2 linked regions of the Saccharomyces cerevisiae S288C genome follow. The protein of the gene in region 2 binds, or shares a complex with, the protein of the main gene of each other region. Each region holds a gene or a part of one and is shown on either strand. Other genes may lie near its edges. A codon is read from its position in the direction of its gene.

Region 1 (4,414 bases), on a different chromosome or scaffold from region 2:
GTGTTAGCAAATGAAAGTAGCAACTCCCAGCTTTCATCTATGTCATGTAGTGCGCCACCAATTTGCGCCAGAATTTCATCATCAAAGGTCTTCTCATTTGAATTTATTTTTACTATTCCATTGAAAATAGTATCTGGGTTATAATTTTCCATGATAAGATACTGCTTGACAGGAAGAACCTTCATTACGCTCGTTTTTGAAGGTGATACTGCAGAAGATGATGCATTATCGTTGGGCTGGTCTAGCGATATGCCATTAGTGTTCTTCAGTATGAACTGTACTACTTGATCCCTATAACTCATTGGCAGTTCATAACGAGCCAAAAAATTGTCGGCTGCTGTATATGGGTTGTCGCTGACATTAATCGGCAATTTCAAGGGAGGTTTTCCATCTTCAATATCCACATCAAATACGTAGTCATACGTTTTACCCTCGAATTCTATTTTTTTGTCGTTTCCAGTAGCACCTGCACCGACAACATCACCAACCTTTTTCCATGAAGAATTTGAAAATTGATGAGCTTCTATAGTACCTTGAGGTGATTTGACTACCACAATTTGACCCTCTTTGCGCCCCGGCGATTGTAAAATTTCATAAGGTGATAGTTTAGACTCATCAAATTCTATTGTCTTGGAACTTATAGTGGATTTTTCCACTTGCGTAGATAGTTCATTTATTTCATCCTCGGAAGCCCATCTTGACTTCTCTTGCGAAAATATTCTCACAAGATTATCACTACTTCCCACAATAATATCACCATTAGACATACAATCAACGGACCAAATAGAGATGGCAGGAAGTGTAATTACCTGCTTTAACGAACCATTTTCCTTTGACCATATACGGACTGTTCGGTCTTCGCCGCAGCTTACAATATCTCCATTGGGCAGCAGTTTAATGCAATAAACAAAGCTTTCATGGCCTTCATATGTTCTTAGTACGTCACCTGTATGCATATCAACCAACTTGATGAGGCCATCGTTTGAACAACTGATAAAATGGCCATCATCCACCACAGCTAAATGTCTTACTACATCATTGTGAATCCCACTGAAAGTTTTGATCACTTTATCGTTTTGCCACAGTTTAATCGTCTTATCGGCGGAAGCTGTCAAGAATTTATTTTCTGAGAAGGATACGACTTTGGCATCCCATACAGAGGCATTGTGTGCTTGCAAATTGTAAACCAACGATCCTTCTTTCCAAACCTTTGCGGTTTTGTCCCAACTACCGCTTATCACAACACCATCTTGGAAGGATAAACTACAAACGTTCCCTTGGTGGCCAATCAAGGTATACAAGGGATCCTCTCCTGAGGTGGCAAACAAGGGCACACCGTTGATCATAGTATCCTTACCTCCAAAAAGCAACAACTCCTTCTCGGAATCATAACACACACTATTTAAAAATCCTTGTCCTGTATAAACTACCGTACCGAGCCATTGGTCATCTTTAGACCACAAGCGAACTGTTCCATCCCTCGAAACACTAGCAACCTTTGAATCATCCACAGCTACCACATCCCTGACGTCCTGATCGTGCCCTTTAAGTGTTGCACTCAATTGATATCCCATACTCCAAATCTGCTGCTCTACACCTTACTATCACACATGAATATATATATATAAAATAAGCCAAGACAGTGGCCTTCCCTTATTATCAGCGTACTAAAATCTCATATGATTTATTTTTCGTGGTCCTGAACGAGTGTGAAAAATTTTGAAAAACTCGCAAAGGAAATGCCAAGGTCAGCAACTTTCTCGACGTCCAAGCCTCGCTCCTATTGTTTTAGTAACCTGTAGACCTTCAATATTCAAGAGCTTGCACACGCACGCATTGCTGCACTACTGCTTACCCACACTACAAATTTAATTCCAGCTTATTGAAGTTGAAAAGGCAAGGGAAAAATACCACAGGTTTAGATAAGGAAATAGGAGAAAGGATTAGAAACCATATCCCTATAACAGTAACGATAATATTTATATACACGTATATTTTCTCGTCTAGATATGACAGGTCCAATAGTGTACGTTCAAAATGCGGACGGTATCTTCTTCAAGCTTGCTGAGGGCAAAGGAACTAACGATGCTGTTATTCACTTGGCCAATCAAGATCAAGGTGTTCGGGTCCTTGGAGCAGAGGAATTTCCTGTGCAAGGTGAAGTAGTAAAGATTGCGTCCTTGATGGGGTTCATTAAGCTAAAGTTGAACAGGTATGCCATTATCGCAAATACTGTGGAAGAGACCGGTAGATTCAATGGCCACGTTTTCTATAGAGTGTTGCAACATTCTATCGTATCTACCAAGTTTAACTCGAGAATCGATTCTGAAGAAGCCGAATATATCAAGCTACTGGAGTTGCATTTGAAAAATTCCACCTTTTATTTTTCATACACATATGATTTAACAAATTCCTTACAAAGAAATGAAAAGGTTGGTCCTGCAGCCTCCTGGAAAACCGCTGATGAACGATTCTTTTGGAACCATTACTTAACTGAAGATTTGAGAAACTTTGCTCATCAAGATCCTAGAATTGACTCCTTTATACAACCTGTTATCTATGGGTATGCCAAGACAGTGGACGCCGTTTTGAATGCCACCCCTATCGTTCTTGGTTTGATTACCAGACGTAGTATATTTAGGGCGGGCACAAGATACTTCCGTCGTGGTGTTGACAAAGACGGTAACGTTGGCAATTTCAATGAAACTGAGCAAATTTTACTCGCTGAGAATCCAGAGAGTGAAAAAATACACGTTTTCTCCTTCTTACAGACAAGAGGATCTGTGCCAATATACTGGGCTGAAATCAACAACTTGAAGTACAAGCCAAATCTTGTTCTTGGAGAAAACTCATTAGATGCGACAAAAAAGCATTTTGACCAGCAAAAGGAGTTATATGGCGACAACTACTTGGTTAACCTAGTCAACCAAAAGGGCCACGAACTACCCGTGAAAGAGGGCTATGAATCAGTCGTGCACGCGCTAAACGATCCGAAGATTCACTACGTGTATTTTGACTTCCACCATGAATGTCGTAAGATGCAATGGCATAGAGTGAAATTGTTAATTGATCACCTGGAGAAATTAGGTTTATCTAACGAAGATTTCTTCCACAAGGTCATAGACTCTAATGGTAACACCGTTGAAATTGTTAATGAGCAACATTCCGTTGTAAGAACAAACTGTATGGATTGTTTGGACAGAACAAATGTCGTTCAATCTGTTTTAGCCCAGTGGGTTTTGCAAAAGGAGTTTGAAAGTGCCGATGTCGTTGCTACTGGAAGCACTTGGGAAGACAACGCTCCATTGTTAACTTCTTACCAAAACTTATGGGCTGATAATGCAGATGCAGTTAGTGTGGCATATTCGGGCACTGGAGCTTTGAAGACCGATTTCACAAGAACCGGTAAGCGTACACGTCTAGGTGCATTCAACGATTTTTTGAATTCAGCATCACGTTATTACCAGAACAATTGGACTGATGGTCCAAGACAGGATTCATACGATTTATTCCTTGGTGGATTTAGACCACATACCGCTTCTATCAAGTCGCCATTCCCCGACAGAAGACCAGTGTATATTCAGCTGATCCCAATGATCATTTGCGCAGCCTTGACCGTTTTAGGTGCTACGATATTTTTTCCTAAAGATAGATTTACCAGCAGTAAGAATTTGCTGTATTTTGCAGGTGCGTCGATTGTCTTGGCGCTTTCAACCAAATTCATGTTTAAGAACGGTATTCAGTTTGTCAACTGGCCTAAGTTAGTAGACGTTGGGTTCTTGGTCGTTCATCAAACGCATGATAAAGAACAACAATTCAAAGGTTTGAAATATGCACAGAGTCCTAAATTTTCCAAGCCGGATCCTTTAAAAAGAGATTAATGAGTTCTATATGTGATAAAATGATGATTATTGTAAATCCAAAACGTAAAACCGAAAATATGATAAAAACGAGAAAAAAAGTAAGTTAAAAAATAAAAAAATAAAAAAATGAACGCCGGCCCCAGAGGGAAGAACAAGCTATTTATTTTCTTTTTTACTTTATCTTTCATGGTCATATATATATATATATATATATATATATATCTTCTATAGGCTACTATACATGAAGGCGTTCGCCCTTACAACGTTAAGTTTTTTTCCCTATTGTACCGTGTAAGTTTCAATTATTCGCATAATTCATGAATGAACTTCTTCACATCGGTTGATTTCATTAGGGCTTCACCCACTAAAAATCCATGGACACCTTCTTTTTTGTATTTTTCAGCATCGTCCCTGGTGGTAATTCCCGATAGAGCAATTAGAAGAACATCCTTTGGAATAGATTCTACCAAGTTACTGGTGGTATTTAGGTCTACGTTGAATGAATGCAGGTCCCTATTATTGACACCTACAACTTTAGCACCAATTTCTAG
Region 2 (3,119 bases):
GGCAAAGCCTTTAAAGTAAGATGGGTGATCGTGCGTGATATAAATAACAGATCGTTAAAAAGGTTTTTGATACCATCCAATGAAATGAAACCGATAACACATTCCAGAGATACTCAAGAAATTCCATATTCGATTGGAATTTCAATAATTAATCTATTTAAAACTCAAGATTCTGATATTTTCTCCTTCTTGGATGAGACGTATGAATAGACCTTATCCCTCATTTATCAACATTTTATTCTCATTTATTATTAGTATTATTATTATTTTTAATATTATTTTTATTTAAAATTATCCTAAAATTACTTCTACTGTTATAACATCCAATCCATAAGAAGCAAAAACAAAGTTTTCATATTAAGCCATCGTAAAGGTTTAAGGCACCAATAATAGAGGGATCGACTTTAGAACCTTCTCTGAATTCGTCCAGCGTAATGTAACCATCTTCGTTCTTATCCATCAACTTGAAGATCTTCTTTACCCTCATTTCGGGCGTTGCCTCATCCTCATTAAGTGTAACCATAGACCCCATCATTTTATAAACACTCGCCACAATGGTTAGCATTTCATCAAATGTAATATATCCATCATGGTTCAAATCATAAAGTTCGAAAGCCCAGCTCAGTTTTTCCTCCAAAGTTCCTCTGGACGTTGTACTCAAAACTGTGATAAACTCTTCAAAATGTATGAATCCATTGTTGTCTTTATCAAAAACTGTAAAAAGGTGATTAGCAAAATCTTCAGGAGAACCAAATGGAAAAAACTGTTTGTATATCTTAACAAAATCTTCCCTAGCTAGTTGGCCACTAGGGCAATCCCTCAAAAATCCTTTATGCCATTGCTGGATTTCTCTTCTATCAAAATAGGTGGATTGTTTCAAACATGTCAGGTCATCTTTGGAAAGCTTTGACGTCTTGGCTCCCATTTTTTTTTTGAATCAAAAACAGTTTTCAAGCACAAAATAACTCTCGCCGATTCTTAAACTAGCAACAATTATAAAACAGGAGGTAATATCCCTAGTTCATCAGTTCAATCGTTGACAAATTAAACATTATTTCAGTACTCTATGGTATAATAATAAAAAATACACCGAAGAGTTACCCTTTTTTCGTTTTTAATGATCAATTCTGGCTCATTTTTTTACTTCCTGAGCAGTCAACTACTACTGAAAAAAAGAGGCTAATGGGTACGCATTTACCTAAAAACAATTAGATCCCTGCCTTGGATCGTAATCTTGTTTATCTATCCTTTTTGGACATTGACATCTATTTGTGTCGCAGTTAATTGCTTTCTGGGTACGTTGACTTTTTCAGTTCTATATCGGCCCGTTGCTTACTCTGTTCAACTCACTTATTCTTTTGTTTCGGTTTGGGCTGCTGCATTTATAGATTAAAAATAAATTTCAAATTTCCACGCTAACAAATAGAGCTAAATTAGCAGTTTCATTGTTGGCTATATTTTCATTACAACTTTTGATCTGATAACGTAAAAGAATTCAAACAAAAACTATCTAAAAAAATACAAAGCAAAAATCATGTCTACTTTACAACGTCGTAGAGTCAATAGGGCGGATTCTGGAGATACTTCCTCCATTCATTCTTCTGCTAACAATACCAAAGGAGACAAAATCGCAAATATTGCTGTTGACGGGGATGATGACAATGGAACAAACAAAAAGATTGCATATGACCCAGAAGAATCGAAATTGAGAGACAACATCAATATCCCTACGTTAACGTTGATGGAAGAAGTCTTATTGATGGGCTTAAGAGATAGAGAAGGATATTTGTCGTTTTGGAATGATAGTATTTCATATGCTTTGCGTGGTTGTATAATTATAGAATTAGCGTTAAGAGGTAAAATCAGAATCTTAGATGATTCCGCCAGGAAAAGGTTCGATCTTTCCGAAAGGTTGATTGAAGTTATTGACAGTTCCAAAACTGGGGAAGTTTTACTGGATGAAACTTTGCAATTGATGAAAAACGACGAACCTTTGTCAATTTCTAACTGGATTGATCTTTTAAGTGGTGAAACATGGAACCTTTTAAAGATCAACTATCAATTGAAACAAGTAAGGGAAAGATTGGCAAAAGGTTTGGTCGATAAAGGTGTATTGAGAACAGAAATGAAAAATTTCTTTTTGTTTGACATGGCGACACACCCCATTGCAGACGCCAGCTGCAAAGAAGCCATTAAGCGCAGAGTACTTTCTGTACTCGTATCGAGGAACATGGAATTAAGTTACAATGAATATTTTCCGGAGACAACATCTTTCAAAATCATTAGAACTTTAGCTTTAATATGTGGATCATATGGGGCAAACGTATTGGAGAATGTCCTGACTACGTTGGAATATGAGAAGAGAGATAAGGCAATTAGTAGAGCTGAAGAAATAATGGCACAATTTTCGCAATACCCATTTGATTTAGAAAAGGAAACTGAGTTAGGTGTCTCCGTTAATTTAAACAAGGAAGTTAAAGAAGAGATAGAAAACAATCCTGGTCATGATTTACAATTGGAAGTTATTGCTGGTGTATTTGAAGTCTTTTCAAGAATGGATATGCTATTATGAAAATAACAACAAAAATCCTCTCTTTGAAACATAAGGAAAAGTCAAGCTTTTTTTTATAAGCCTCTAACATTAATAAACGAAATTTGTATATATGTATATACATATACGGAGTGGATAATAAATAGACCAAACTTTTTGTTATTATATACGCCCACATTCGTATTCATTGCTTTCTTGAATCCAAATGCTTTAAATATGGAGATAAAAATCCGCCATCGCCATATTTATTCAAGTAATATTTTTTAACTCTCACATCTTGAAATATTGATGGTTTTGATGACACATTAAAGTGCAAGCCTTCATTAAATGCGTTTATCAACGACCTTGACTCATTTGCATAAGCTTCACCACATGACTCCCACCAAAAGCCTCCGCCTAAATTGTTATGTGTCACATATTCAGCCTTAGTTTTGACTGATTTAGTGTTATCATAACTGATAAATATTGAATTTTTTTCATCAAAGCAATATGCTGAAACATATTTTGGATCGTATTGTTCTATTGTACCAATCTTTGGTAAATTTTTGTAAGGCCAGATGCCCTCCTT

Evidence for each region.
Region 1: the proteins of VPS74 (region 2) and SAC1 are in contact, whole or in part, in a crystal structure (PDB 4TU3), measured with the Saccharomyces cerevisiae proteins. Residues at the interface, in NP_010660.1 of Saccharomyces cerevisiae: Ser164 (codon at 2,024), Gly165 (codon at 2,027), Glu166 (codon at 2,030), Thr167 (codon at 2,033), Trp168 (codon at 2,036), Asn169 (codon at 2,039), Leu170 (codon at 2,042), Leu171 (codon at 2,045), Lys172 (codon at 2,048), Ile173 (codon at 2,051), Gln176 (codon at 2,060); in NP_012710.1 of Saccharomyces cerevisiae: Gln9 (codon at 2,034), Tyr69 (codon at 2,214), Ile95 (codon at 2,292), Ser97 (codon at 2,298), Thr98 (codon at 2,301), Lys99 (codon at 2,304), Phe100 (codon at 2,307), Asn101 (codon at 2,310), Ser102 (codon at 2,313), Arg103 (codon at 2,316), Ile104 (codon at 2,319), Ile112 (codon at 2,343), Glu116 (codon at 2,355), Lys120 (codon at 2,367).

What each region holds. Positions count from the first base shown.
Region 1 is NC_001143.9:32,534-36,947, forward strand, and holds SAC1 (phosphatidylinositol-3-phosphatase SAC1), read left to right. Parts: upstream 1-2,009; coding exon 2,010-3,881; downstream 3,882-4,414. Other genes in the region: DOA1 (Doa1p), read right to left, coding at 1-1,574; TRP3 (bifunctional anthranilate synthase/indole-3-glycerol-phosphate synthase), read right to left, coding at 4,166-4,414. UniProt on the Saccharomyces cerevisiae protein: Phosphoinositide phosphatase which catalyzes the hydrolysis of phosphatidylinositol 3-phosphate (PtdIns(3)P) and phosphatidylinositol 4-phosphate (PtdIns(4)P). Has low activity towards phosphatidylinositol-3,5-bisphosphate (PtdIns(3,5)P2).
Region 2 is NC_001136.10:1,220,565-1,223,683, reverse strand, and holds VPS74 (Vps74p), read left to right. Parts: upstream 1-1,534; coding exon 1,535-2,572; downstream 2,573-3,119. Other genes in the region: PHO92 (mRNA-binding phosphate metabolism regulator), read left to right, coding at 1-210; FRQ1 (frequenin), read right to left, coding at 353-925; CTS2 (putative chitinase), read right to left, coding at 2,736-3,119.